Drosophila melanogaster: one gene and its partners. Changing the gene in region 3 together with the main gene of any one other region gives a genetic interaction. Each region holds a gene or a part of one and is shown on either strand. Other genes may lie near its edges. The genes, in order: rpr, cnc, Dfd and hh.

Region 1 (6,771 bases), on a different chromosome or scaffold from region 3:
CGATTTGGTTTGGGAATTTGCCAGTGGACCCTTTTTTTTGGGTCTTCATTAATTTCTGCACGAGTATCCGCAGAATCGGACTATTTGTGTTCCTTCCTACCTTTTACCTGTTCTATTCAAACAAAAAGTATGGAACGAAAAATTGGCTAACATGCCAGACAATTATGTGGAAGGTAAGCAGAGCGATGGAACCACAAACGGATAAAGATCAGTCAAGGCTAAGACCCCAAACATAAAAAAAGGGCTGCACCTCTTGACCGAAAATAGTTCTTGGAAATTTATGGATAAAGTTTTGTTTTGATTCGAGTTCACTTAACTCTAAGCGGGCTCCATTGTATTTTTTGCATCTTTTTGGCATTATTAGAAACACTTTTCGAACTAATTAACAGCAGAGACAGAAATAAAAGTTTGGAAGAATTTGCTGCTAGGGATTAAATGCTTTTCGTCTGTGATTTTTACAGCACTTCGCTTACAAATCGCTCGACGTTTGGCGCAGCTTCAAACATAATCATAAACTTGTGTTAATTATTTTTCATATGCCACTCCGGCTGGCGTGGGCAAAAGTTTTATCTGTTTAACGTTAATTAGTTTTGTTTGGCAAAGTGAAATTTCTGATTTCTTTTTGCGCGAGCTTTGCCAACTTTTATTAACTTTTTTCGGGCAATCAAAGTGAATTGAACTGCAGGATGTGCAAGGATATGGCAGCTGCATAAGTGCAAAAGTTTAATTAAAAGTCCTGGCCGCGTTCGCGGAACACAGAGTCATATCCTTCGAGCTGATGACGAGACCCTCAAGAATTGCACATCGAATTTTTCCCTGCCATTTGGCGCTTGCCAAAATTAACTTAAAAATGCAAATTGTTTTGTTAGCACCTAATTTTTTGAAATTATAGAGGGGAAAAGATGTCAAGACTGCCGTAGGGGCAACTCCCCCGCCTGCTCTCTCTTGTTACAAAGTTTCTGCATCGAAAAATCTTGGCAAATATTTTTGTATTTCCTTTTTGCATAATTGAATTTTCTTTGTGTGTTTTCTTGCTGCCGTTTGTGTTGAACAATGTTGTCGGAGTGGCTGAAAAGTTTTTCTCAGAGTGGAAAAGTTGGACTAAAAGACTCATTCTCCCTTAACTTTGCACATTCCAAGAAATTGGGAATTCATTTTTTTATATTAAAAATAAAATATCTAATGGTAGAAGTGGTATTATTATATAGAATTATAATATTCATACATATCCTAATTCAATTGATGTGATTGATCTTAACAATATTCCAGTTTTTGGAGTTGATCTAGCCATGTCTAAATATACATATCGATAAGATATCGAAAACTAAAGAACAATGAAGTTTAAATAAATCTATTGTCTGGAAAGTGACTAATAAAAACGTGGTTTAACTTTCTACAACAAATAGTTTATATCAAAACTAAAAATAATGTGGTTAAGATTCTATTATATGTAATACCGATTTATAATTATATTCGTTCTACAATAATTCAAGAAATTAGCTTGCATTAATATTATTATAACTAAATTATTATTATTATTATAATTATTATTATTATTATTATTTCCGGCAATATCAATCTTAATATTTTATTAAGATATATTTCAAAGCGGACTCTGTCACCGAACGCCGGAAATCAAATGAAAAACTTTTTCAAAACAAAAAAAAATCTTTAACGTTTCCTAACCAAACACATGTAAAATAATTTTCACAACCACCGATAATTTCACTGATTATTAAACAGCCTTCTAGAAAGTTCCTTTTACCGTCGGCGAAATGAAATAAAAAATGTGCTTGTTCCAAACTCAGTTTTTCGAGACATCATCTTAGGCTTTCTTCGCTTTTTGTATCTAAATCTTATAAATGGTAATCTGAAAATATTTAAGTAAATGAAAAACCAACAATTTTTTTAGTTTTTGTTTTTGTTTTATTGACTTTTTGTTTGACAAAAAATTGATGCAATTTTTAGCCAACTTCGACTCATCTTCGTTTTTTTCTGGGGTTTCTTCTTAAAAAAAACTTAGAAAAACTCGTCTTACAAAAGAACTTACAAACTATTACAGTAGTAATTCATTTAAATAGGCTTTAAGAGTAAATTATTTCTAAAAAAGTTGATTTATATCATTGAAACATTTTTGTAAAAAATTGGGGACTTTATAAAAACGTTATTTTTTCAAATTTTTCCTCCGCTTTTTTGTAGAAACAAAACCATTATCACAATCGCTTTGATGAGTAAACTAAAATTGGGTGGGTGTTGTGGCTCTGTGTCCTTGACTGCAGTAGAAATCGAGTGCCGTCGGCTGATGAGTGGTGACTGTGTTTGGGTTTTGGGTTGGCTCATGCTTATTTCCTTTGTACTCTGGATTTTGGACTGGACTATTGGTTTTCCCCGTATTTGTTAGTTACTCGAATCCTCATTGCGATGGCTTGCGATATTTGCCGGACTTTCTTCCGGTCTTCGGATGACATGAAGTGTACTGGCGCAGGGTTTCCAGGACGACGGTGGCCAGGAATCTCCACTGTGACTCCCGCAAGCGAAGGATCTGCTGCTCCTTCTGCTCCGCCTCCCGCAACAGAGTCGCCTGATCGGGTATGTAGAATGCCACTGCCATTGTTGGTTTATCTTTCTTCTCGTTCGGAATTACACAACTGGTAGTGACTCAATAACTTTCTCTTCTGCACAATGAATATTTATCGAGTTAGTTCTTTGTTGCTGGCGCACACACTTTTCTTTCGTATTTTCGAGTTCGTTCACTTTGTTCTGGTGTCTCTCTTATTCAATGATTTTTTCGAGATGCGTTCGCTGCGATGGTTGCTTTTCAACTGAATATATTGAGTAGTGCTCCGAGGCTATTTATACCTGGTTCTCTCACGCCGCCTTGTTCTCTGTTTTTCTGGTGGTGGCTGCTCATTTTGGCCTTCTTCGCTCTTCGGCTCTCTGGCTGGGGTTTTTTTGTTTTGGTATTTCTGTTGACATCGTCTCATTCGCAGCTCCCAAAAAAGTACTACTTTTCATCGTGAGCGGGGGCGGGGCCACCTTGCGCCTGTTGCCAAGCGTGTTTTTGTATGAGGTTGTGTTGTTGTTGCCAGGTTGGTGGCAGCGCCTTTGTTGTAACTGTGTGCGGCGAGAAGTACAGTTAGCATATTAATTGTATTAAATCGTCGGGGCATGACAATCGTTTCTCATCAAGGAGTTCGACAGAGAAAGACATACAAGAGTTGCTTCACGACTAAAGTTTGGAATACCCTCTAAGATTAACATTATTTACACTAGCTACCCATTAGTGATTAGCAACTAAACTAAGCCGGATACCTGATAACAGCCAAGTACAACCATCTAGCCGGTTTCATATTAATCCTTCGAATTTCATTTCTTAAATATTAAAAATATTTATTTTCATCTATGTCAATCAGCAAAAAGTCCTTTTAGCTATTACCGCCAGTATATTTTCTATAATATGATTAAATTCTTGAATTGTAATTAATAAGAAAATTCCAACTAAAAATGATGGAAAAATAAAACCAATATTTTTTAGGTTGGACACATTGATGCTATTAATAGTACAACATTTAAAGTACAAACTATTTACATAATTAAGCAGAATAGCTTCTTGTAAGGGTATTATAACAAGTGGGAGGCGGATTCACTTGAAATATGGGCAAGTGGGCAAGGAAGAGTTCCGTTCCATTTCTTGAATTATTTTCTCTCTTTTCCATGGACCAGCCCACCTGCCATATCTAGATAGATCCCTCTTTATCAGTATCTCGCGCTCTACAAGTGTTTACACAATCATCCGAAGCTTCCGACTAAGAATTATGACAATGTCATAAATTAAAGGCCATATACAGTATATTGACAACAATGGGCTCGTCCCATTATATTTCGTGTGCAATTTTATTCATTTTCATTAGAGCGGAACCAGACGGATATGATATGATACGATATGAATGTTTTCGTTGGAAATCATACACGAAAATTTCCCTGCGGCTTAAAGTATTATTAATTGCCTTCCTGATGGATATGATATCCGAACAATGTATTCTTCCAACATATAGGAAGCTTATTGAAATTATCTTTAATAATATATATTCTGCATTATTATATATAGGTCGTTTACATTTTAAATCTCAACTGAAACTTTCTCTTTAATGACGTAAATACATATTTCATCATTTTTCATCGTATCTAAGTCGGATTACCCATAAACATACTATTGTTTTGTTCTTAATTTCGTTATGATGTTTAAATAAATTTCATATATATATGTAATAGAAAATTAGCTCTTGAAACTCCACCTGCATAATTCTAAAATCTTTTACCCCACCCAAAGAACCGCGATGAGTTTTAAGTTCCATTCAAACTCCACCCACAAAGCCGTAGTACCGTAATACCGTACCCACACACAGGCAAACAGCCGAATCTTACGACGTGCGTCTCAAGTGTTTCCACTGTGATAGAGAATAGCCATCACTTTGGGGGATGTTCTGCGTCATCGTCTATAGCGACCACCTCTCCACAGCTCTGATGTCTAGGTCTATTGTTGAAGGAACTACTCTACTTTCCTCGGCCGGGCGTGCTCGTTCTCTTTCTTTCACACTGCCGTCCTAGTCGCACAGCAGAACCATTCGACTCTATAGTTATTTTTTCATGAGTCTTTTCTTTCCGGGTTCGCGTCAACACACACATACAACATATATAAATCCGGGACAGTTGGGCGTGGCTTACGTTCTAACAGCGTTTTCTGCTCCAGCGGGCAAAAAGAGGAAGCCGAAAAATGGGCATTCCCTCTCTTTCGCACGTTTTGGGGGACGACCAATGTGGTTCAAGTTGGAAATTTATGTTTTGGGTCTGCTTTCGTTTTCTGGGGCGGAGTTTAGGTTGGGACCTTTTTTATGTAGCTGAATCATTGCCAAGAAGGGTGGAGCCAGAAAGGGCCTTAAGTTAACCGAAACATGGCTAACGTTATCCCTTAAATGTATGTCCTTCGCGGTAACCTGCGGTAATTTGCGCATCAGTCATAATTGAGGCTGTCGAATGTCAATTAGTTCGATGATTATCCTCTCAAGGCCTTTATCACAGACTTCATTCAGTTTTTCTTTCCTTAAGATTCTGATCTAAATCTCTAATTGCCCAATGAGGCGATATTTTCAAAGTAACAGATAGTTATCTACGATTTTGGGTACTTGTATTTTCTTAAGGGATAATGCGGGTAATTATTGTCATTTTTATTCAAATAATGCATGCCTCCGGTTGGGGTGCAACAGGCAAAGTCGAATCTCGACTTGTTTAATAACCCATATATCATTTGCATAGATAACTGCCTGACTTTCAATTTAACTTGTGTCTTGTGGCCTATTGAGTTTGTCAAATTGGATTATGTTTCTTCGATTGAGTTTTCAATCTACATGTTAAATGACCCACATGATACGATATTCATTCCTGGGAAGTGTGTCAATCGAATTTTCGATCTACCCGGAAGTTTGCCGATCCTGTTTCTGATTGGGATTCCAGAAATTCACTTTACATTTCATGAGGCATCCAACGTGATATTCCCAAATGAAAGCAAATTTTTAGCGATAATTTCATCAGTTTTTTTTTCTTACTCCTCTCCGCAGCTTGTGACGTGTCTCTGTCTTTGTCTGGGACTGCCTCAAATCGGTATGTCTTACATATCACACATTGTACGTACATATACAAAACATTCGTAACATTCACGAATGCTAATGAGTAATATCAACAATGCGATAACTTGCGCAATTCCCCTAATTTTTGCTTTTATTTTATTGTACCGTTTTATAGGGTATCTACAATCATTCTTGGCAAATAAAAGAAAAGAATTAAATACTAGATTGGCAATCATCTCTTTGTACCTTTATGATCAAACTGCTGTGTCATGCACAATACTCATCGTATAATCCGTACTTCAACCAAATCTACAGGTTGTTCATTATTAAATTGTTAGCTATTAGTTCCAACCGTATAATAACAATTTAGTGCAGTAGTTTCAGCTTTCTCTCGTTCCATTTCATTTGTAATTCTACTATTGGATCATTTATGTTATATTCAGTGGATAAATTGATAGCTTTTACATTACAATTTATTTTAGACCTATATTTTAAATTTTCCTATATATTCCCTGCATTACCCATTATTTAAATATTAAACGAAAACCGTTGGAGTAAAGTTGCAGGATTGGAACCTCCTTCCTCTATCCTTATATGCAGTAATAAAATAATTGGGCCGAAATCATCACTCATTCTTAAAGTTTCCTCTCAGTCAGGTTGCTCCCCCCGCCCCCAGCCAATGCTTAATAATATTCCAAGAATTGCGCAACGTTCTCGAACAGAATATTGTCATCTCTTTGTTGCTCCCGCACTGTTTTCAATCTCGAAAACTCTCAATTTCTCACACTTTGGTGTTTGGGTATCTTTTTCGGCTGCGGCTTCGTTTCGTTAATTTGTGTTAATTTTTTATGATCCCAACTGGTGGTCTGGTTTCTGGTCTCCCTTTCGATCTTGTCAGAAATGTATATTTCGTTTTATTTGATTTCCCATTTAGAAAGCCCAGACGGGGCAAAGAAACAAAGACAATTGCCAAGTGATCCGTAGTGCTCGGGTCATTAACTCACTCTCCTACCTTTTCCCGTAGCCCCTATCCCTATCCCAAAGCCCCTTCCCCAGCGCAATCTCCTCTATTCACTCATTTTGTAACGCCTGTCATTGAGGGCTGCTTAGGCAGACGACCCAAACCGATCCCGATCTCCAGCCATCC
Region 2 (8,525 bases), about 16 Mb from region 3:
GACAAAAATCCCTTTACACATTACTCGAATTTATCATCTTTGTTTTATTTTTTCGCAGTTAAAATGTTTTTTGCGCAGTCGAAGCGTTTAACGACCTAATTGCCGCTTGTTTTGTGTGTTTGCATATAATATGTAAACTTTGGGCACGAAAGATGGTGAAAGTTGTTGCGCACGGTTTAAAAAAAATGTTAGCCAAACAAAAGATAATTATTGTATTATGAAAAATACTTATTAAAGATTAACGCATGTTATCAGAACTTTAAAATGCTACGACTTGGGATTTCGGCAACATATCAGAAATAAATCAAACTAAACTAAACTAAAAATCAACTTTTGTTGATTTCTATTAATCTCCCAATTAGATGAATCAACCCTTTTAGAAACCCTCCACAGATAACAATTACAATCTTACAGATCGACAGCGTATGAGTGGATAACCGTGACACAATAGTCATGCTGATGTGTAAACAAAGTTGAAACCCTTATCTGTTGATAAGGTGAAAAAGTATCTCGCATGCAAGGTGACCAATCCAAACAGAAAGCCACATTTGAATATATCGATTGACGGCGGGGAAACTAACAAACTATAATTATAATGAAAGCTGAACGGTCAGAAATGGAGAGGCAGCCAAGGGGAGAACTATGGTTGTGGAATGGGTCAAGCGATGGGTTCGCAAATCTTCATTAGCAATGCAAAATGCTTTTTTCTTTTTTATAACAACACTGCTTGATAATGGGCACAAGCACACACCGAAGCACAGGTCTGCTGGTGGTGCCATTTGAGTGACTTCTAATCAGTCAAATCAAAGTCATTTACTACTACACTCGAAGAAAACGTCAGTCAATTGAATCTGTTAACAAGATGTAAAGCTTACATCTAGAGCACACCTTTGATTTGGACACTCTGCGTATAAAATAAACTTTGATTCATTTTTTTTTCAAGTGTATTGGCGTTACCTCCTCGTCATCTCCGATTTCCACCTCGTTGGCGAAGCAGTTACTGCCAAAGGGCTCATCGGTGGTCAGACCCTCCACCTCGCAGGCGTTGGCCACTCCACCGATCAGCTCGCCCTCGTAATCTTCATCCTCGTCCTCTCCGAACAGTCGACCCAAATAGAGACTCTCCTCGCCATCATCGCTCCTTCCAGCCGAGTTATTTGTGACACTACCCAGATTCCTGGGATGTGGAGTGCTATCATTGAGGGCGGCGGTGCTGAGGGGTGCTCCACTGCCGCCGGTGAAACCATGTAGAAGCGCCGCCAAGCTGAGATCCAGATGCGAACTGTTTGATGGCTGAGGCTGGCCATCCTTAAGAGGCAGATTTGCATAGGGACTGGTTTGCAGACTCAAATCATTGTAGTCATAGAGATCCGCTAGATTCTGTTCCCAAATGGAACGCTGATCCTGCAGCGCATGTGGCGTGAGGAAAGTGTCCAATTCTGATGTTGGATGCAGCGGCGAATGGTTGGCATTTCCAGGGTCCAGCGAGGCGGTATCAATGTGGATTTCACCCAGTGCAGAACCACTGGTTTGACCACCCGAGGTGGGTGCACCACCAGTACCAACCACCATTGTACCGCCAGTGGCGGCAGCACTAGTGCTCTGCACATCCTGCAGAGCTGCCGTCTGGACACTGCTATTCCCGGTGGTGTTGTGGAGATTCATTACAAAAGTGCTGCCGTTGAATCTTGGCGGAAGCTTGCAGCCCCCTATGCCATTGGCCATTCCCCCCAAGGAAGGATCGTCGAAGTTTAGGAGATCCTCAATGCGGGGACTCAGTCCTTTACGATTTCCATACGGGTTGTGATCCATATCCAGGCGGTGTACCGTCCGCAGCATCTCCAGCTCCCATCCATCGCCATGGGTGCCCAATTCCAGCTGCGAGTCCCAGCGATGGAGCAGGTAATCGGGATTATAATGCAGCAGACTCAAGGCCAAAGCCAGCTGCAGCATTTTCATAGCGTACGATTTTTTGTTTGAGATCATTTTGTTGCTTTCAGAGGTTTCGATACGTGAGCGAATGGGTGCGTGGGTGACTCTTGTAGTCCGTAGTCCACCTCCGCCCGCCGCCTCCTCCTCCTCCTCCTCCTCCTCCGCTGCTGTTGTTCTTGTTGTTCTCCGTCCCGGACAACAGCTCTACGGCTGCGTCGTCCGGGATCTATGCGTTCAATGACGTCGCCTTGCCCCGCCTTCCGGCCTCCTCCTCCTCCTCCTCCTTCGGCGTTCCGAAATCTGCGCAAAAAGCTGAAAATTCGCAGTTTCCACGGCCTATCTCCCCGATTTTCCAATGCTCTTTGCTTTTAATTGATGGCTGTCCTCGGTTTTGTTCTGTAAGCAAATCAAGATGTGACAACAAATAGAATGGAATTAGTAAGCATAACGATTTGCTAACTATATGTACATATGCAAGTATGTAGATATGTAGTGTAATATTCATACATTGCCGCATGGCCATATATGCAGTTTGAATGTTAAATGAAAATGCTTTTGTTTCGAGTGGTGCAGCCTTTGTTTTGTTTGCCAGTCGATTTTATAAATTGCTAAGCACGAGGAAGTGCACCAAAGAAAGTTCAACTTCCGGGTCGGTAACGTCTTTTATTAAAAACACATCTAATTTCCACATCGCGATTATATTAGGATTCATATTTATTTAGCAAAAACGAACACAATTATGTTTTTCTGTTCGCAATTATGTAGTTAAGGTACATAAGTAATACTTTCGAGAGATATTAAAATAAATGAAAGATTGTCGTAAGGAAACATCCCTTATCTCTATTATTTAAACTTGAAATTATAAATGTGCAGAAACACTAACAAGGTTTTGCTACAGAAACACAACACATAGTTTGTTTTCATACCAAACCAAAGTGGATAGCCTAGAAAGGCTGTTATGATGATGACCTAGCGCATTTCAGCATAGTTAATTTCATATTCAGAGACAATTAAGCAGGTCAAGAATCGAATTTTCCGAAATATGTGTGTATAATACATAAATACATATATGCATGTATCCTTCTTTGGTTGTTGTTTTGTCCGAATTCTGTTTGATATCCACAACGCATTTAATATGCCCATCCTGTCCAGCCACACACACACCCCCCCCCCCCTTAAACAAGGTTAACAGACAACCGCCCACCCGAAAAAGGGGGGCGTGAGGCGGAAGGAATGACCCAGACCCAGACGAAATGGCTTTGAACTTGAACTTGTTCAAGGTCTCTCGCGAGCATTTGAAATGTGCGCAATGCGAAGTGAAGCACCCGATTCAAGGACGGACGAAAAAATTGTGTGCAAAATTCTTTCAAGGTTCGATATAAACTTTCTTTGTTTAAAGCCATTTTAACAAAAATCCAAACTTTATTTGGCTCAATTCTCAATGAAAAGATGTGCGCGAGAGAGAGAAAGAGAGGGGTAGGGAAATGACGTGTGCATGTGCGTGCAAGAGAGGGTTCTTGTGTGGGTGTGCGTGTGATTGTGGCTGTATTGCAGTGCACTCACCTCAAATTTTTTTTGGATGATGAGACCCGACTACAACGGTAAAAAAGCTGCGGCGCAGTAAATGTTCTCCTTGTTGTTGTTGCCGTTGCTTGATCTTCTTTTCCTCTTCGCTGCTTCTTCTTCCCTGCAGCACACACAATGGTTTATTGTTTACCGTTCACTTTTCTTTTGCTCTGCAAGACCTTATTTGTTTATGTTTCACTTTCTACGATTTTTACTTTTAATTGCTGGAAAACACGCGTTTTATTTATTTAACAACTTTAAATATATATTTCGCTTGTCTGCGTCCTTGAACTTTCTCTTCTGCAGACAATTTGCATTCAAGTGCCATTAAATATTAATAACAATTGATATTTGATTATGTGCCACCTGGTGCTTCTTTCTCGCCGTCTGGTACGCACTTTTGTGTGAGAGTGTGTGTGGTGGTGGTGCCGTTTTACGTGGTGAAATCGTCACTTATTTGTTAACCCTATATTGGACCTACGTCAAATTAGAATTTGAAGTCATTTGTATGTTAAGATTTTCAAGACAGCTGTAAAATTATTTAACTACGTTAAGGTACAAAAAATTGTCAAGTCCATCAAGGGTTAAAACAATAATATTTTCGCTTCGTTTGTTGTTTTTACACTGCCTAATATTTGCATGTGTTTTGCCTCCACATTGCTTTGTATTTCTTTGTTTTCTTTTATCGCCCGATTCTCGTCTCTCTCTGACTCACACACCAAAAAAAAAGACACGCACACGTTGAAGCATACAACTGCTGTTTTTTCTTGCCAATTCCAATTCGGTCTGTGCCCACAATTAATGCAATTAATTAAATGCAAAACGATTTAATTTTTTGCTGAGAATCGCGGAGAGCAAAACAAATAGGAAAAATGAAATATGGAAGCTTCGAGAATGAGCAGAGAATAACCGGCAACGGCAGCATTTCAACATTCACTCTGCACTTTGCATCAACAAATTATTTATCAAATTGCTAGTTCCTTTTCGTTCCCTATTCTTTCTAACTCGATGTTTTTCTCGATTGCATTCTGTCAGCTGAGCGGTGGAGAGGGAGCGAGAGAGGGAGACTGAGCGCGAGAGCGAGAGGGGGCGATTGCTGAATAACTGTTGTTGCTAGCCTGTTGGTCGTTGTTGTTTTGATTGCCTTTAACCCACCACCCCCACCGACAGTACCACCACCACACAATGAGTTGCACTTATTTAGTGGGGCATGCAACATTTCGCAACTGTAGTTCTTAAACGCACAACCGAAACTTTTTCATTTGTTGTTCCGGCACACAAGCACACGCAGCCAGACACGCACACACACACACACACAATTTAAGCGGCGTGTACTTCGCACCTTTACGCGTCTTCTTTCACTGTTATTTGGCAAATTATTGTCGCGTCCGCTTTGCTACTCTCTTTCGCCAACCGCCGTACCTACGTGGTGAGCTTGAAAACGTGTTTTGTTTGTTACGCCGCGTTTGGCAATTTCTCCGCCGTCGAAATCAGTCGCGATTTTCGATTGCGGCCTCAAAACATTTGAGGCAAAAAACGTCTGTCCAGCGCGGTGCTTTTATCAAGTGTGCCCAGTTGAGGCTCTTTGCAGACGATTTTGTTGAGTTTTGTGCTTTTGCGGTTTTTTTCGGGGCCGCCAAGTGCGGTCTCACCATAATACATTGTGCTTTTAACAGAAATGTTAAATGTAGCTTAAACTAACAGTGACAGAAAGAGCTTTTTAAAGGAGAGCTAGAAATGTAGATTTCGGTTACAAATGTATCTTTATTACCTACCTTTTATTTCTAGATTTAGTTTTTAGAAAGAATATCTTAAGAATATAAAGAACATATTTATATTTTCCCTAAGAGTAACTTATGTAGACATGGTGGCTATTGCAATTTTATGTAGATATGGTGTAAGCTTATAAGCTTTTGACACGTGTCCATGCAAATTTTTCAGTTAATTTGCATTAGTCATTTTTTTAACTAGTTCTACATAACAAAGTTGAAATTTGTATTAAAATTAAAAATAAAGGGATATATATAGTTTTATATTTCCTTAATATTAATTTAAAATAATTTTTTTTCATGATATTGATATTGATATTCTACATGCATGCAAAAATACAAATATCTTAACAATAACTTCCGTTAGCTATTGATATCACAAATGGATACATTTGTATTAGACTTGCTCAATAAAACAGATAGCCACACTATTCAGAACGTGTAATTCAAAATATAGCTAGAAGACTATCAATCTATCTAAAAGACCTGCTCATAAAAATTAATTTAGATTGATGGGGGTAATTTATAGATATATTGCGTTCTGAACTGGGAACATTTGTGCTGGCATTTGGATAAAGTAATTAACACCGAAGCCTTTCAATACTTACCAGATTGGTAAAATGGAAGCCACCTTTCCAAATGTTGGTCTTGGCGTTACCTGGCGTCGTCGATTGGGTGATGGATGGCGTTGGCTTGGCCAGTACAGCGGGCGTGGAAGCCACCGTGGGCTTAATCAGCTTACTCAACTTCGAGGGTGGTCCAATGGGCACCCGGACGGTGACCTTCTTCTTCGGATTCAGCTGCAATTGGGTCTGGTGGTAGGTATATTCGATGTCCTTCGCCGGGGACAAGGATTGCAGCCGAGGCAGATCCTCTAAGTCGATCATTATTGCTTATCAGCTGGCACAAATGGTGATGAGTCAATATGTCAACTGGAATGAAAGCGAACACACAGATAAGGATGGGTCACTAGGTTGACTAGGCTTTTTTTTAGGATGGTGGTTTTGAACTTAATAATTCTGTTCCGACATTAAATATAAACAGTTTGTTTTCGGCGTATAAGAAAATGTGTTTTTACTCATTTTGATCAATGTGACAGATCAAAGATATAATAAATTCATATATATTTTAGTAGCCATACTCGTGTGATTTTATTTTTAATTTCTTCGAATTCCCTGCTAGTAACTTTATCGAACTTTCACTGTAAATGAGCTATAAAAACTGATAAGCGAACTTCGACGGGTGGAATTCAAAAATGAGATATAGCCAACCTAATGGTTTGTTTTATTTGCCATTTATTGAGAAAATTACACACATTCACACAAATTCAAATGTAGATAAGTACAGTGGATGCCCAACAACAATATCAACTCCCACGAGAATCCAGAAAGATAACCGCGTGGAAACGGCATTCATTATCTATCAATTGATTTGGGAACAAAGTATTAGGTATCAGTAACCATAGAGGGATTTCTCCATTGTACACAATACAGTGGGCCCTGCCTTGGAAGAATGCAAATTACATCAGCCAATGTTCCACAGGGGGAATTTTTCGATTAGATTGGGACAATAAATGAATCATAAAATAAATTAAATTGGTCGCACTTCTAAATTTTGGGAATCAGCCATGAGTCCCTGCTATAAATTTAATCGACAGGTTCTTTATAGAAATTGGTCAAAAGATTCGTACTTATTTGTTAATCTTTTCTTCTTTAACTATTAAAATCTATGGTGTTAGCAATTTTAAATGACATTTCTATTTATAAGAAATGTACTTAATTGTGTAGACTAATCAATATTATAATTTATTTGCTCTTTTTCATAACAGCTATCATTTTGACCTTTAACGGTCTGCTTCTCTATATGAGCATATTATCTATCTATTATCTATTCAAAACAAATACGTTTTTTATTGGGCCACCTAGAAGTTGGCAAACCATCAAATCGTATTTATTATTGTTTAAACAATACGCAGCTTAAGGGTATTATGGCTCAATTTAAGGAGTTCTGGGAATCCCATTACGACGCTTTGAATAATGCTCAAAGTAAACAATTCGAAAAAGCTGTGATCTTCGGTTTGTTGCTATGACTCAACCAAATGTGCGAAAAAAATCAACAATTACAATGGCAAGTAAAAAACAATTGAAGTCGAATACAATTCGACGGCTCAGAGCACTAACTTTTTTGAAGATGAGATACTGAAAGATACTGAAAGAAGTGGGGGAAAGAGAATGGTCAAAAGCAGTGGTTGGTAACAAAAACAGTCTGGCTAAAATAAAACTGGAAATGAAAGTTGTAAGATACAAAGTGCGTTTTAGAACTGCTAGTTTTGGGCATCGAAATGCTTTAATCGGAGCTTAAATATATGTTTTGAGGAAGACGTCATTGAGTTTATAAAAAATCAAATATCAATCAACTTAAAATGTGTTGGCTTAAATGGGTTGTCAAGTGAGATTGTTATCGCTTATAAGCCAATTAATGGAAACTTGATCTTATGAGAATTCATCGCATTAAAGATTTTGCTAAATTTTCAATCCATGTAATCAGATTTCGTACTGTGCACCTGCGCAAAGATAAATAATATGGGCAGTACCTTAAGCATATTTCATTATGCAAATCATTCTGGTCCAGGTATTCATATTTATAAACAGTGAAATCACAATACAAACTTAGTTAATATCGAACGGTTTTTTCCCCGAATCCAAGTCAACATTGCAAATCTGTTCGAGTCGAGATAAATAAAAACAAAACCAGTTTCTTTAGGTTTTTTTATCTGTGGCTATACTCTTGGAATGGAAAAGAAGCGCTTTTCGAAACATTTTGTCAAAAGAAGAAAAGCTACTTTATTTTGGAATAGAAAACATGAAAATTAATCAAGAAATTCTAATCGATTTGTTCTATCAAGGCAGTATTGTTTATTGTAATTAAAATTTCACCAAAATTTCATTTGTGGCATATGTTTAAGCAAGTTTAAAATAGATATAATAGAGAATAAGTTACGCTTATTATGATTTTTTCTAGTAAGATTTTACAATCTCTGAAGAGAAAAGTTTTCTTTGTCTTCGAGTACTTTTGTCACACAAAGCAAGAGTATTGCCGATTTCACGTGTGTAAGTTGATTTGCCCGTGTTGATTTTAATAAATACCCTCTGTTTGTTGTTTTCGCAGTTGTCTGAGGCAGTCGCTTGATGCCTTGACGTAGTTTATAATTCGAATCAACTCTGGGCTTAATTAAAACTCGTAGAAAAATGCGAGAAA
Region 3 (8,417 bases):
TCCGTTCAGTTTTGGCATTAGCATGTGGTCAACAAAATAAGTTTATGGTCTAATTTCATTAAAGTATTGTGTAACAACATATTTAAACATAACATTACCAGCGCAGTCTAAGAAACCATAAAACAGTTCGTGGACTTTACCAATATATGTTTACTTTCCAGTTGTTGCATAAATTTGTAATTGTATTTGGATTTGTCCAATGTAATACACTTACTTAAGGCGATATAAATTATCTAATCAAATAGATTCGATTATTAATATAAGCGCTCTGTTTATTTTCGTTCATCACATCAAACTTAAGAGTTTCAACTGCAACCTGACTGCAGCCCGATTCCATTAATTTTTCACAACCTTTCAACACTTTTAATGACACCTATTAAATAATCCACAAATTGCTCTCCAAATGCGATTCACACCTAGCTCTGCTTCTCTCATTCGACGGAGGCACAAGTTTGAAACAAGTTTTAGGCCGCCGCAGGGCCAAAGCAAATTAAATTCGGCAAGAGACCACACGCCACATCAGCGGCATTCATAGTTTGGGCCTTAGTTTCGGGCAAGTGCTAAGCGAGTGTAAGTCATTTGTAAAGGGAATAACATGACACCGGCGGGAACCCGGGGTCACGGGTCTGCGTTTTGGGGCACAACGAGACGGAGAAGGAGACGGATGCCAAGACGCTGGATAAGATGATGCACTGGCGATAATCAAGCCCCGTCTTGTTCTCGTGGTCGTGCGCTCATGATAAATGTCACAACATTAACATCAAATGACACGGACCATCCGTCACTCAGTCGGAGTTATACCCTACCGATGGAGGGGCGGGGGCTTGGAATCGGAATCCGAGCATGAGCCCGAAGATAAGTTGGTATGGTGTACCTTGCGACTGTGTCAAATATGCCCCCGAGCGATCGTTTCCCTGTCTCCCTGCGCGCCGCACAACTTCGATATTTCGTTTTTGGGTTTGATTTTTGATGCTGACACTAAGAAAAACTTTCCACAATAAAGAAAATCAAATGCGGGCTTTGTTGTTTTATTTTAAATGTCCCAATATTAGAAATAGCATCTTAGAAACCGGTACGAACACAATAAATGTGTAATGGTATATATTAATAATATAGTTAAGCCATTGCTTTTATATGACCCTCGGTTCCTACTGTAAAGCCAAATTTCATCATGTTAACATGTTTAATTGGATTATTAAAAATTAGAAATTATTTAAAAACCCTTTAGTTTGAAGCCAACTTTGAATTATGTACTATATTTTTTTCAGTGAAACGACAAATTTCCACAGTCAAGTAAATCGGGAGTGGGTACTGGGAACCCGATGAACCGATGAGGCATTTGACAATGAGCGAGTCGGAGTGGCGTTAAGCGAAACGTTATAATTACCCATTTGGGTCAAGGTTATGGTCGAACTGGAGTATCCCTGTGTACTGTGCTGTGCTAATTAAAAAGCAATCTATCAGTAGCTTCAGACCTCCATCCGATCCTCTGGGAAACGCATTCGTCACCTACTTGCCGCCCCGTGGCATCCCTATTTTGGTTTTATTAAAACAATAAGCGACGACAATCTACAGTTGGCCGTCAGATGTTGTTGGTAACACACTCGAAACATGGCTGAATGAATTCCCCGTTTGGGGGGTGACAATTAATTAGTAATTATTTCTGCCAGGTCAACTCAACTGAGCCCATTCAGTCGGTCTCTGGATCTGGTGAATGAAACCAGGCAAGAAACCTGTTCTCCATGTCCAAGTTGCATTCAGTTTTTGTGCCAAGAATGAGTCGAAAAAGCTTTCATTGTAGGCCTTAGAAAATTACTGTGTATAATTCAGAGAGCCTGGAAATTATTTTCTGGGGGCTAAGCATATGAATGGATACATACAATTTTTCAGAAGAACATTGAAATGAGAATGAGTGTTCGTTAAAATATCTTCGAGGTTTAATTTAACGATTGTTTCTTCCTAGACAAAAATGTTTCAATTGCCTAAAAAAAAAAACTACATATATATGCAGCTCTATACTACATTCCCAGGATGACTTTTTATGATGTATCAATTGGCACCGTACCATTCAGCAGTCCAAGTTGATTTTATGTCAGTTCAAGTGCTGAAAGAACCTCTGAAGAGGCCTAATAACCAGGAGCCTCTTAAAGTGCTGATTGCAGCGAGTGGGACTCACTTAACGTTATGTGCATTATATTATATTATATAGGAGTAGTATGTACAGGAACTTGTCGTTTGGTGAACACGGTTCGCCCCTCGACGCAAGGCGTGGCACTCTTGATTTTGATTAATGAGCTTGGAGTCGCAGTTTTCTTTTTTAAGTTACTCGGTTGGCTGGTGTCTTTGGCTTTTAGATTGTTTATTTTCATTTTGGGTTTCGCCCAGGAACGAACATTACAGGGGCCTGTCAGTGAATCAAGTGGGTGTTGGCAGCTAAGTAATTTAATTAGCATACCCCGAAAAATGGGACACGACATGGGCGCGAAGGGGAGAGCAGGAGATAAAGAGAAACTTTCAACTTACCAACTCCCGCCACATGGATCTTCTTCATCCAGGGGTAGATGATCCGTTCGCCATCGGTCGTCTCCGCCATCAGATCCTCATCGCTGTCTGAGTCCCCGAGGTCGTCGTCGTTGTCGTTGGAGCCCAGCTCGTCTGGAGATCGATCCAGCATGAGCCGATCCTCCTCTGACATATCGTCCTAAACAAGTCAATCAAGGCCTCGATTACGCATTCTCTCTTGGCACATCTGCTGCAAGTACTTACGTTTTCGGATCCCATATCATCACACCGCAATCGCATCCCTAGCTCTTGCAGTTGTTGTCCGGCAGGTACAGCTTCTTCTATGCGTTTTTCTAGTTTTAGGCCTGCATGGAATGGAAGTCACTTTAGTTTGGTACAGTGTAATTAGAGTAGCTAAAATCGAATTGAAGGGCTTATATATGTACAAAATATTAGATCTTTTTTAATATTACTATGCGGCATAACAATCTTGTGGGCTTATTTTAAGTGTTTTTCTCAATCTGCTCCCTAGACATTTTAAAAGGTTTGGATATACGAATGTAAAATGACTTTGCTATGGAATTGATATATAAATAAAAAAAATAATTATATAAATATAAATATAAATATATATTTAATATAAGGATCGATTGATAATCTTCAGATTATTGAAATAGTACTAAGTATATCCTCCTATCAAATCTCAACGGATTCCAAGAGACAACAGAAATTCTATTAGTATGGACTCACCTAATTCCTGCAGTCCCAGCGCCGTGTTCGTCGGTGGTTCCGTGGAGCTGCACTGAAGGGGCAGATCCATCATCTGGGAGTGCGGCGAGTGTCCTTGGGAGTGGGTGCTGCCCACACTTCCGTTCGCCGTCCCATAACCCCCACCGTACCCGCCGTAATATCCATTTGCCGATCCACCCACTGCGCCACCTCCGAGCACTGCGCCACTTCCTCCGCCACCACCGCCATTGCTCGTATTTGGAACGTTTGCCGCCGGTCCGTATCCGTTCGTGGGATCGGAGTGCACCGCTCCTGCGGATATGAATTCGGGGGCGTGGTGGACGTAATAGCCGAGGCTCTGGTGCGGATGGGCGTGTGGATGCGAGTGCGGATGTGAGGGCGGAGTGGCATTGGCATAATTGGAACTGTAACCGCCGGCGGATGCCTGGTGGTGTCCAGATATTGCACTGTTGCTATGGTGGTGCGGTAGTGAGTGGGTGTGCGAATGGGAGTGGCTGTGCGGATTGTGGTGATGCGCCATATAGTCACTGACCATGTCCGCCGGGTGCATGGAATGCGGATGACCAGTCATCCCACCTGCTCCACCACCTCCGACAGACCCAACACCTGCACCACCGCCGACGGCACCACTCATATGACCCGTAGATGCGGTCATCGAATAGTGTCCATTGTAGTGATGATAGTCATCGGCCAACGGCGGAAACTTTGGGTCCAAGCCATTGCCCATGGACATGGGACTCTGGACATGATGTGGTGCATGCGGATAACCCATGAGAAAAGAGCTCATGACGGAAGGTCTGTTGGATCGGGGTTCACCGGATGCGTTTTCCTGGTTATTACTTTGTTATTCGATTTTTTCTTGGGCACTATCACTTGGATTGCACATACTCCGAACCTTTTGCTTTTAGTACATTAACTATTGATTAAAGGCGCTGCTTTTGCAAGTAGTAATTACTTTTAAGATTGTGTTGGTTAAAATAAATTTCGTATTCTTTTTAATATTTTTAACTAAACAAAGGGGTTAGAAGGCTCCCGTTGTCTTCATAATTTTCACTTTTATTGTTTTGATTATACTTTGTTTGCACTTTTTTGTCACTTTTAAAAGCCGTGGGGCCTTGGAATTCTGAGAAACTTGATTATGGTGTTATTTTCCGGTTATAAAAAACGTTTTTACAACGAATTTCAATCCCACACAGGGAGAAAAGTCGGACGTTTCGGTCTTACGAGTGCGCTGCGAACACGAACCGTCCCATTCGAGCCGATTTTTTGTTATGCTCGCTGGCGATAACTCTCCGTGCGAGCGAACCTGTTTCGCCACTCTTCGCTCTTGTTTGCTTGTGCTCTCGCTCGCTCTCTCTCACCGCCATTGCCATCAAAACGGGTTTTCACTGCCGAAGCAATCGAAGGACGGCCCACACACGCGCACAAATAAAGCCATTCATATGTAGCAGCCATGTCTGTTCACCTTTTCTCACCCTTCGCCTCGTACGCCATTTTCCACCACTGACCATAGTTCTCTCGCAAGCGCGACTGAGAGGGAGCATTGTGGTTAAAGCGGGATGGCCAGATCTTTGGTCACACCCATTTTGAGTTGCGTGAACAGTCAAGGCATACAATATTGAACTAGTTCAAAGAAGTATTCTTAAAAAAAAAAAATAAAAAGCCATTAATTAAAACTTTAAAATATAATTTTACTTTTACTGTACAGTGTATATATTTTTTTTATATTTTAGTAACGTCTTATTTATTTTTTTACGAAATAAGCTTATTTTACTTTCCAAGGATTAATAAATTGAAATGACAGTAAATCGAATAGAAAATTAAAAACGCAATTGTCTACATAGAGAAATAGGATTTCTGAATTGATTCAATGTTATATTTATATCTCAAACAGCACTGTTTAGCTCATTAGCACACCTACTTACCTACCCTCGACTGTTCTTCCCTCAGACTTACTATTTTGGTTGTACTTTTGCTGTGAGTGTGCTGGTACCTTCAAAGTCATGGCGCACGCTCGAAAATTGAACTCGACGAAAAAGTTGTCTGGACCCAAGAAACTCCGCCCATTTTCAGAAGGCTTTCATCGATCCCGGACAAGACGTAAGTGTGGATATGGAGCACACCATTTATTTTCCACTTTCATAAATGGATTCTGTAGGAACGATGCAGAGAACGCGTGGGTAACAACAGTATTGATCGTAAAGAGGGGACGGTACTATTGGATGCCGATTTCTTCGTCTGAATTCAGCTACCGAGTTGGAGAGTCCGAGCTGACTTGCAACAATTTCAATTGAACAACCAACGAATATCACTTTGTTCTCCTCTGTGATTATTGTTGTGGTCTGGCTGGGGCTAAGGCTGTTATTATTGTTGTCATTACTACCGTGATTTTTCCTCCGATGTTGTTGTTATGGCGATGACGGGCACATATTCAAATGGAGCAAGCGAAACGTGGAAAATCAATAGAATGATTGTTGTATAATGCACATCGAGAAGGTTGGATATTTAATGCTTTAATATTGTTTTTAGTAAATATTTAGACTGATTCATAACAATCCATAATGTGGGTAAAAGAAAATATGGCTTGTACTTTTAAATTCGTACTTCGAGCAATGCGGAATATTAACAATTTATTTATAGGTAATATCATACAAACTTTTGATTATTTCGCTTAATGAATTCAACAGATTTTAAATTTTTGTGATATATATTTTAATAAGTTTGAAATCTGCTGACCCTATAGAGCCAGCTGCCCTAACTCACTTCAAATAAAAGTTAAATTGAGCATAAATTCGTGTCACACTTCTGGAGTGTGTTTCTGAAAGTGACTCTGGCTAATTGCCGAATAATTGGACCTCCGGTAAACCCACCAAAAATATCTTAACCCCCTTACAATCAGGTCCACGTGCTGTGCCACCTCCTTCACCAGTTCCATATGTGAGCGGTATAGGGGCATGGCCACTAATTAATCGACTTCCAACTGATTCGATTTTGATGGTCACCATCAAAACGTCATTAGGCTAGTTAAGTTTATAAAACTTAAATTTAGTCTGTGGTCCGTCGGCCAGACTCATAGGAGTAAATGTTGGTTTAGGTCTTCATTCCACGTTAAAGTGTTCGAATTAATTGACCAGCTAGTGTTAATTAATGGAAGTTCCATGTTTACTAATTTTACTGTGTGATTCATTACGCATATTTGTTTACAAATAACTTTGGTCCAAATCCAAAAATATAATTGCTTTTAAATTACATTATTATATTTCTCGAAAATTTAAAATCAGAAAACTGTTATTTAATTTCTTATGTATTTAAAATTTTTAAAGATAGTACCAAATTTAGATTCCATGCTTAGCATATTACACTCCTGAATGGCTGCTGCTTGAGGACCTTTAAAACTCAGTTGCATTAGCGGCTGCTACATCGAATTTTCTCAGTTCTGACGTAGCTCCTTAGGTGGATGGAAGCACGATGTGGGAGGTTTGGGAAAGTCCCAGCTTGCGCAGGGATGAGGGCTCCCTGAGCCAGCAGGGAGGATGGGTTGTGGTACAACGAGGATGGCTCGGTTGGGGGACAGTGGGTGTTTGTTGCTATTGCTTGCTCTTTGTCCGGGGCATTTGAGTCCAAATCCCAATTCAGATCCAGCAATCAGTTGCGACTGTCAGGCGGCGGCAGAAGGAAGTTCACTTGCTGCACGAGGCAACACACTGAAACGTGATTAATGATGTCGCATCCACATCCACTGAGGCACATTACGACCACCAATGCGAATACATATAGAGAGCCACCATGCTTTGAGTATGGACTTTCTTTGTTTTCAGCTCGCTTCTTTAAGCCAGCCATCAAAACTTTGTGATATAAAATTAAAAAGCACTCTACGGCGATCGAATAATGTTATGCAAAATGGGTGGTATCCACAACAACTGATAAGTTCACTAATATTTGCAATTATGTAAATGCTAATCATTGGAATGGCACAAGAGACCTTAAAACAATTTGTATATTTAGAAAAATTAGGAATAACTTTCAATTCTTAAAACTTTTTGAAGTTATTTTGTAATTTTTGTATGTTAAAGCTTTAACCCAATGAAGGAACATGGAAATTTTAGCAACACATAAAAAAAACATGCTGCCCAAGTTTGTTTTTAAACTTTGGCAACGCCAAGACGCCCAGCGTGTTTGATACCACTGCAGAGTGTTGTAATTTGATTATTTTATATAGGAAATAGTCTGAAGCAGTCTGTAATGTGAAACATCACTAAAACCAAAGTCAGTCCTTATATTGTATAATATATATCCTAATTATCTTAAGATCTTAATTATGTCTTATTTATGTTGGTATAAATTCAATGTAATTTGTTTGATTTTTAGGGCCCCCTTTTTTAAAGCTAAACTAAAGCTAGTTGAGGTCGATTTTGTAAAGTCAGTTTTCTTGTCCGTTACATTTTGTGATATTATAAAATATATGACAAAAAATAAATGATAGTGACTCTAACGCAGCTATAGTTGTTTTAAAATAATTGTAGATTCGATTTTTCGAATCGATTTTTGACGAAACAATATTTAATTTTAAAAGGATATTTTCTTTAAATCGCAAATTGAGCTTATATCAAGCTTTATACCAAAAAATTGGTATTATCTCCATTCCTTTACTTTATCTAAGTAACCAAAACCTTTTTGTCGAGACACTCGATTAAAGTTTTCTTTTGTTTTAACCAAACTGAATCTACTAAGTACACTTAATTTAAAAAAAAAAAACTTGTAATTTTAAAATTATTTTAAGCTTACTTTTTCGAAAAGGCGATAGCTTTTTCCCTACTTTTTGCTGCCCATGACCCACCCATTGACTCCACATAGACAGCCAGATTCTGGCATTCCAATCAATCTGGTATGGAAATTGTGTTAACGACATGTTGACAAGTCGACGTAGATTCAGCCTAACCAGGGGAACTCTGGGGATAAGGAATGGGTCCGGGGATTCAGGGATGTTGATTAGCTCGAGACGGAGTGAAAAGCTGGAGGTTCTTCCAGCGAAAACAAGAGGACAATGAAGGCTGCCAGGAATCGTTTGCCAAATGATTGATTGAGTGATTAATGATTGACTGACTAGCTTACTGAACGCCTCTAGAGTGTGTGTCTCTCAGAATTAAAGCCAGTTTTGACTTTTA
Region 4 (8,694 bases), about 16 Mb from region 3:
ATGGAGCAACGGACAGCGGGTAGGCGAGGGGGTGGCGGCTGCCTTGGGGTCTTCCGTTCGATCCCCGGATCCCCTGGATCTTGGATGACTTGCAGGAATGGATGCAGAGCAGGAGAGGAGCCATGTGAAATGTGAGTCACTCGCCCAGCAGTAATGTGATAGCCGCGACGCGATCTCTGATCGCGATCTTCCATATTCTCTCCCGGCGCAAGTTCATAAAAGTTTTATGCAAATAAAGCAAAAGCCAGAGATCCAAAAAGGCAAATATCGATGGCATTTTGGGGCAACAAATCCTTGAACATTCGCGCCTGAGTGCCCTCGTAAAAGTATCAAATTGATTAATAATAATAATATAAAAGCATCTCGCACAAAAGCAAAACAAACAAATAAACAGTGCGAATCCGCATCGGCGATACATATACAACATATATGGGGTTCATATTGGGGGGGCTCTTTTTTTGAAAGAGACGATTTGTCCACTTTGCCTGACTGATGTTTGTTTGATAAGTTTGATTACTTTGTTCGCCGCAGGAATGTTCCCACGAAATTGGCTGATGTTTGCTTATCGCAGCATTTGACGTGATTTGATTTGAGTTCCTTTGTTTTTTTGGCAAAGGGAAAATGAAACTGAAGCTCTGACATCATCCCACCCAGCGATTTCTGTTCTTTCTCTTAGGTTTTAGTTATTTTTTTTTTTTTTATGTCATAATAGGATCAATTTTGAGTCATAATGCTCTATTAGAATGGCTCGGCTGAGGGCTTACTTTGATTTGATTTGAGTGGAGTTGATTTGATGGTGATGTGCATGTCTGGAAGATCAGGGAGTGAGGAGCTGGCGTATGGAGTCTGGAGGACTGGCAGTGCTGCATGCATGTCAATAATCATATCGGATTACCCATTGGCTTTGCCCTCAGCCCCATTGTTGCTACAATTTATGAAATTTTAGAACTTATGCTGCGGCTTTTGACGCATTCTTTTGTCCACATCCATATCCATCTGTCCGCTGCGGTTTCTGCTGCTCTGCTGCTCTGCTGCTCGTCTAATCCCGTGGCATTCAAGATTCAACTTCAGATACCGCAGATACAACAGTTCAGCGCTGAAAAGGTCTGAAGAGAAGTGTTGCCCTAGACACATTCGCCGGTAATTACCTGAGCCAATGACTTGTCATAAGCTCCAGTACTTTACGATGCATTTGTTCGTTTCGGTTAGGAGTAGCTGCATTGCATGGCGACTGCTGAAATTTCGCAATTTGTTTATGCAACCGGCGGAGGGAAGTGCAACACACCCACAGTCAGGGCCACGCAGCTAGCAGTCCGACTTTCGAGCCTTTTAAATGGCCACAACGAATTGTTTAGCAGCTGAAATTCACGCACAGCGGCCAGTAAGTCATTCGGTCTGATAGCCAGATCCAAATCCACATAAAATGCGTTTTAGTTGCGCTCTGCTGGCACTCCACGGTACTCTTTGCAGCTCCTTGCAGGAATGGCAAAAGATTTCAATGTCACTGGATATATGTATACGACTTCGGTAGCGGAACAGTTGCCGTTGTAAATATTTGTCCCGTGAACAACAGGATTTTTATGCTCGCCGAGTGTCCTTGGCCGTTTAGTCAATCGCCCGAAGGACCTTGGCCTTCGGTGTGTCACTGCGTTTGTGCTGCCGTGCGAGCAACTGTTAATTGTTCGCCAGTTTCTGGAAAGGCTGCGATACCTTTTGATTGCATATCAAATTCAAGGTAACATCTGAAATGGCTGCAACCATTTAGAATCCCCCGATGGGCGCGTGGCAGTTGCCAAATGCAATTTGGAATTGGTTTTCAAGTGAAACTCTAGCAGGCGAACAACTGGTTCGATAATACGATTTAACTTTACAGTACAGTAAAATCTGATTTTTAAAGATCTAAGTCGTTTTTGCGAAACACTAACCACTGACTAATAAATCAACAAATCGAAAGTCATTGTAACACTTGTGTGGGCGATACTAAACCCTTTAAATCAACTATATTAGTCGGTTGGCAGGCGTAATCTGTCTTCCCACAATTCTGATTATTAGTTTGTTGTTCAATAGCACCAAATCGTCCAAGGAAACTGGAAGTCCGCCATAAAAGCCCAATAGCTCGTTTATGGCGCTAATCAATAACAAGGCTATTTTTACACATCGACACTTAAAATTTCATTAAAGTAACACGAAGATAAGCTGGTGGGAAGCGTGCCGATTATATATATCAGCAACTTCAATGTCGGCCCTCTTAGGGGGTCTTGACTGTGCTAAGCCGACTTCTGGCCGCAACGCAACCACCCCACTAACTGCTGGCTAATTGGAAATGTTGTCGCATGGTGCTTGAATTGAACACTTGTTTTAGCTGTTTCGCACTTTGAAACTCAACCACCGCTCCCCCACCAACTGGGTGGTCATCCCACCGCCACCCACTCCACTTTCACTACCCCCGCCCCTTTTTTTTTATGGCGATAAGATACTGCTGTTCTTCGCCTTAGCTGGTATCTTAGCACACATTTTGTTCTGGCACCGATATAGCGCAACTAGCAACGTATAACGTATAACGTATAACTTGCACCTAAACTAATTTTCACATTTTATTTCACACATAAAAACCATCATATACCTCTTTTAGCATAAACCATAAAGTGGCAAGCATATAGTATTATGCCAAGCGAACCCAATTTCTTTCAGTGCCAGCATGTAGCTACACATGTTGGCAAATATAGGGTGACTATCTGGGGGGATAGTAACCGTGTATTGGCAAACGAACTACTTGGCTGCAGTCCGCTTATCAGACAATCGCCGGTGATAAGCGGCAAATGCTCGCGTGCCTCCACTTTTGGGGCGCGGACAGGGTGGGCGGTGGGCGGTGGGCGGTGGTTTTGGCTGAGTAAAACCTGATAAATACCGGGACTTGTAATCTCCCGCATTCGATACCCTGTTTGTTGTTCAGCGCGAAATCGAAAACGCATTTGCGAAGCGTACACACAATGTTGAGTAAACTATGTATTTGCAATGATGACCCGGGGATCGATTGGGCTCGAGGTTGTTGAACGCGTTCGCTCGGTTTGTTTGGATTTCGGGACGCTTTGCAGCTTTATGGCTTAGTTCGATGGAATTCAGGCGCTATCTACCGTTCAGCCGTCGAGTATCGGGCTTCCTGTTTTTTTGCACTTGCGAAACAAGTGCAGTGCGGCGATAAGATGCATAATTAATCATATAAATGGCCAATGCTCAAAACTAATACTATATTTCAGCCCAGTTTTATGGCAGCCATCGCCACCATAAAGTTGGTGAAATAGCCAATGCTCGATCAATGATTGGGCACTTTTCCGCCACGTAGCGTTTATCAATGGGAACCGAGTGGCACAATCTCGTGCCATCGGGCGATCGCTAGATACGGGCTATAAAACAGCGCGAGCGATAAGCGATCGCTAATTTGACAATTGAATTTACGGACCACGACGGGTGGCAAAATGTGAGTGCAGTGCGCAATAAGCACGGAATTAGCCTAGCCGCAAATCGGAACCCAGCTGTCTGATATAGAAGACGAATTCGGAACAATATCAGCAATAAAATCTCATCTAAATGGTGTGTTTGACCTCCATACCTCAGATTTAACAGGCATTTCATTGTGTTCCTATATCAAAGTAGGCTTACTTTTATCACAAAATAATACCTAGACCAAATATTAAGTGTACTATTAAAGCATTACAAGTTCCGTTTGGTAGAGTTATCTCACATTTTTTCCTAGAATTAGTCATTTATTTGGCGTAAGACTGGGTTTTCACTTCATTTGTGTTGCTAACAATACTAAATGTTAAGTAATTTCTGATTAATCGTGATTAATAAGTCAATATTTCGGTTTTTACAAATAATTTTTAAGTCACTTTGTCACAATGATTCCGATAAGCGAAACTTTCCCAATGATGTATTACAAATTTTGTTACTAGCTTACGGTGTTTGAGGGTTTTCCTTACCTTGCTCATCAAGCGATCCGCTCCGGTGCCTTCCTCGTCGCGGAAAAGGATGTCCCTGTTGTAGTTGGGCACGAGGTCCTTGAATTTGGGCGAGTCCCGACGGATCACACCCTCCAGAGGTCCGGAGGCGCTGTTCGTGTACTCGGATAGATTGGGAATTGTCTGCTTGAGGACCAGCGGATACAGGTTGCGCGCCCTATGACGACCCAATCCTCGGCCAGGACCGCAGCTGTGAGCCGGGCTAAAGACCATCGGCAAGACGATCAGCAGCAGGGCCACCAGAGAGGTCAGCCTGCTGAGGCAACGCTGCGTATGCGCAATGTGGCGCATCGTTTGCGTTTCTTCTTGCGGGATTGCGGAGATGGAGCTCGCTGCGGATTTGGAGCTGGAACTGGAACTGGAACTGTGGCATTTGGCATCCAGGGAGAGACAGGTGACACTGGCGGCACTGGCCCAAGGCACTGAGCTGTGGTTATCCATGATTTATCTAAGACTCGTTGTTTGCTGTTTCTCTTGATTGGATTTTGTATCTCCTTTAATTTTTTTTATTTATTTTTTTGGTTATTTAGCACTTCACTTTTGGCACACAGACACGCTTATTTGGCGACACGTTTGTTATTCAGATTTATGGTATTATTTGGATTTAAACTGGCTAAATCGAAATACTTGAGTCGGCGAAATCGCAGGTCCTAACTGACTTAACTACGGTCTTAACTGTTCTCCGCTGAACTGGCAGTTAGCTCTCGGTTCGGACAACCGTTGCGCTCGCACTGTGATTGACAAATGACATTTCCGAGCGGAGTATCGTGCGCGCAGAGTGTTCGAGTGCGAGTACGAGTACGGCAGCGAATACGAATGCGAGTATAAGTACGAGTACGACGAGGGTGCTTTCAAGAACCCTAGGCCTTTTAGCTCACACAAACACACACGCACACACACACTATCGCCTCGAGTTCATTCCGCGTTGTGATTGTATGCGTATGCCACTCGACGTTCGATCGGCTGTGGTGTTCATTTTTATGCTGCCTTATGCGCAAGGGAAGTGGAAGCGGGACAACCAGATGATGCAGCATACTCACAAGACTGGTTTGCATGTGTTAGTGCCTGAGTCTTCGGCTCTTATGTACAAGCAATGTTGGCAACAGATGTTGGATGGCATTGGCATAGTGTGCTGCGGTCCATTATGGCCATGGATGAAAGTGTGTGCCTGTTGCCAATTGGATGTGTGATAGTGTGCGTTGCTGGCGCAGAAGAGCTGCAGCATCCTCGACTGCAACTGCAATTTCTCTTAACACTTGCACTACTCGGACTCGACTCGACTCGAGTCTTGTGGCTTGTTAGCCGCTTCTGGCCCTGCAACTCCTCCATCGCAGGCCATTGTTCACTTTTTTCCGTTGCCTTTCTTCGTTTTGTTGTTCGTTTCGCTTTATTGCTTGTAAATTAATAATGTTCCGGTTTTTTGTGTATTGTGTGACTCCTGGGCAGCCTTATATATATACATACATATATATGTATATTGTATATGGTATGATATGTGGAGTACATATGGGTTCAATGCTGCTTCCGTTTGCCAGTCTTCAAGGAACGGAAAAAGTGCTTAAAACTAAAGTACTTTATGATCATCGAAGGCTCCGAGCTTATGTCACCCAGTGAGTCATTCATATGCCCCTCAGGTAGTGGTCATGTTCCGATTAGATATCGCCTTAGGACCTACAAATTACTGGTCAATTTAACAATTTCCTTCTCCGCCAGAGGTTCCGTTCAACGCCATGTCAATAATCGCAAATATGTCTATATATATTGCAAAAACCGATAACGATTTTGGCAAATACAATTTGCAATTAGGTACCTTATATTTATGCACAGCAAATAACTAAGTTGCGGATTGATGCCGCACTCTGGAAATCAATAAATTTCCAGTTTTATCTCTGTTGACTTTGGCTAATATAAAATTCCCCACAACTGGGAAATCTCCAATTTAACTTTTTAGCTTTTTCGCACTTTCAGAACTTGGATCTGTGGCAAGCGCTAATCTTTTGTTTTGGCTCTTTTTCCAGACCTTATTTATTTTTTTGCGGTTGCACCAGGTCTATTTGCACTGTCACTTGGCAAGCGCGAATTGTGGAATACGCCCGTCAATGTGTGCCCAAGAAATTGTCACTTTCCAACGGGGTAGAACCAAGGGCCAAGGTGCACCTGCTCATGTAACGGATTCCATGGGGGGGCATAGCATTTTTTTTTTTTTTGGTAACGCTCTGGAATGCAAGGCATAGCATAATAATTTCGACAAAAAACGAAATGAATCGAAGAAAAAAAATAAAACGAATCGAAAGAGGAGAAATACAATAGCTGGTCGTGGCGGCAAAAGATATAAGAGAAGGCAAAACGCCATCAACAAGATACACGGAACCAAATTAAAGATGAAGAAGCTGAAATGGAAGGGGGTATGGAATATACGAGTCTTGGATGCTGGGCCATCGGGCATTCGAGTGTGTGTGCGAGAGTCTATGTGGCTGCCACATAAATTTCTGCCTTCTTTGTGTGCGCACCGAACTCATTACGTTCGTCGCTGTGTGTATCTGTGTGAGTTTCGAATGTGTCTTTGGGCCTCCGCATCTGTATCTGTATCTGTATCTGTGGGGCGGAGCTGCTTAAGGCGCTCATTTGTGAATGAACACACAACACACCGTGAACAAGCCAGATACAGATGCGAAGACCATCCCGGGCCCATGGGCAAACAACAATCGCTCCAGCACTTAATGAGCATGAATAAATGGCATCGCAGACCGTGGAGCAAGCGAGACGGCCAGCGGTCCTCATAATCACGATCATATAGATCGCGCTCTTAGCCGAAACGGCTCACAAAAAATACAGAAAAGAGTTAAAACAAAAAAAAAAGAACACTAAATAAATAAACTAACAAAAAATGCCTTTCCAGGCCCTTCGAGATAAAAAGCCGCAGATTAGTTTCTGTAATTAGATTTGGTCCAGCTTTGATTTATGTGAATATTAATGGGACAACAGCTATAAGTCGAAATTGAATTTTAATGGCAACCTGTAATGCTGCACGGTGAAAAATGTAAAAAAGCAGTTCTTAATGTCAAAACATTAAAAAAAAAAATGAATACAATTACCATTCTTCGAAATTTGATGTTGAGAAACTATATGATCAACGAAAAGATGTGACACTTGAATTACTCATCTACCAAGTTAAGATTAATATTTTTGCCGTGTGCTAGATCCTCCAAATAGACATACCGGAAATATTCAGACCATTCGCTGGCCAACTAGAATGCTCGAGAGCCCAGCAAGCAGCTCCTTTGATTCAACTCGGCATGGAATCCATGGGCAAGATGCCAAAGAGCAGATGGAACGCCATTTTCTGTGCGCCATGGCGCGTCCGCATCCAACGGCGTCTCCGTCTGCTTTTAATTTCTTTTAATGGAAGTTGTTAACATGGCTGCTGCTGCCTCGCCCGGATCACCTCCATCTCCATCTCCACATCTACCTCCGCCGTCCTCGTTGATCCCTTCCTGCTGGTCTGGGGCTGATTTTCGGCTTGGATCCCACCATTCCCACCAACGCCATGGGTTGCGGCTGATTTGCTCTTTTTGTTCTCTTACTTTTCGTTGGTGTTTCGATCATAAAACTTCGATATGAAACTTGAATTTTTGTTTCTTTTTTAATGCGCTTCCCCGTGGTGTGGGTATGTGGCTTATGTAATGTGATTTGGGGTGAATGAAAGGGGTAAATGCCATATTGTAACTTTTTAATTTAAAATATAAAACGACCAGCTTGGCTGCAAGTATTTTATGTTAATTTCAAAGGAAGCGCAGGTGACCCAATGAAATAACAAGTAAACGGTTAGTGGTTTCGTTACTGAAAAGCAAAGTAAACTTTTGTTATATAGAGTATCTAAAAGCCAATTTCGATTGTGACTCCCCAACTATGCCGCTCTCGCTTGGGGTTCATTGAATTTTAGAGGTGCTTTATGATCACTGGGCTAGCTGCGGCTGCTGGCAAGTTTGTTGCCAAAGTCTTTTGTTTTGGCTGCACAAGTCGCGCGGCTCTGGCATTAGAGAGAACCATGAGCGGCCACATAATTAACAAATAATAATGGCCATAACGCGTGCTTTGGCCCCGTCGCACCGGTTTGCTCGGTTATCTGCTGTGAAGGTCGCGGTAATTTAATAACTGATACCAACTAATATTTACGAGAATATTAATATAGTTTATAGCCAAATTTTAATGGCAGCTAAAATGGTTCGTATACTAATGCAGGCAGCAAACTAAAAACGATCGAAACAGCGACGGTTCTCATATCAAGTCAATGCTGATTTCGATTTGATTCCGAGAATCAGGCACTCAATCATGCTGCGAGTTGTGGGACTCTTGTGTTGTGACTGCGGCGGTTGCTTTCGGCCTGCCTCATAGCGTGCGACAAATGCCACTAACGGTTTGAGGTCTCTAATGGATGTTGACATTTACGGCTACCAGGGATTGGGATTGGGTCGTGGAAGGGAAAATGGAAAGGGGAAGGGGAAGTGGCTGTGTTCAGGCTGTTTAATTCACATAAATCTAAGTGAAATGCCATTGGGGAATTGCTGCCGAAATAGAAATTAGGCAAATGGATGGATGTGCCTCCGGTATTCCGGTGAATTTGCCACCATAAAGGCACGAACAGCCACTGAATGGTTTCAGTTCAGGAGCAAAA

The links.
Region 1: of Dfd (region 3) and rpr, changing one suppresses a phenotype caused by changing the other (phenotypic suppression), as found in Drosophila melanogaster (one study listed by BioGRID).
Region 2: of Dfd (region 3) and cnc, changing one enhances a phenotype caused by changing the other (phenotypic enhancement), as found in Drosophila melanogaster (2 studies listed by BioGRID).
Region 4: of Dfd (region 3) and hh, changing one enhances a phenotype caused by changing the other (phenotypic enhancement), as found in Drosophila melanogaster (one study listed by BioGRID).

The regions. Positions count from the first base shown.
Region 1 is NT_037436.4:18,395,625-18,402,395, forward strand, and holds rpr (reaper), read right to left. Parts: upstream 2,812-6,771; 5' UTR 2,612-2,811; coding exon 2,414-2,611; 3' UTR 1,911-2,413; downstream 1-1,910. UniProt on the Drosophila melanogaster protein: Activator of apoptosis, as well as grim and hid, that acts on the effector Dredd.
Region 2 is NT_033777.3:23,216,922-23,225,446, forward strand, and holds the start of cnc (cap-n-collar), read right to left. Parts: upstream 5,041-8,525; 5' UTR 4,925-5,040; exon of another isoform or gene 4,841-4,924; intron 3,976-4,840; exon of another isoform or gene 3,723-3,975; 5' UTR 3,496-3,722; intron 2,329-3,495; 5' UTR 1,987-2,328; coding exon 958-1,986; intron 1-957. UniProt on the Drosophila melanogaster protein: Plays a role in posterior cephalic patterning. Probable subunit of a heterodimeric regulatory protein involved in the control of head morphogenesis.
Region 3 is NT_033777.3:6,787,947-6,796,363, reverse strand, and holds the start of Dfd (deformed), read right to left. Parts: upstream 4,529-8,417; 5' UTR 4,040-4,528; coding exon 3,253-4,039; intron 2,868-3,252; coding exon 2,767-2,867; intron 2,702-2,766; coding exon 2,524-2,701; intron 1-2,523. UniProt on the Drosophila melanogaster protein: Sequence-specific transcription factor which is part of a developmental regulatory system that provides cells with specific positional identities on the anterior-posterior axis. Homeotic protein controlling Drosophila head development.
Region 4 is NT_033777.3:23,137,062-23,145,755, forward strand, and holds the start of hh (hedgehog), read right to left. Parts: upstream 4,846-8,694; 5' UTR 4,461-4,845; coding exon 3,981-4,460; intron 1-3,980.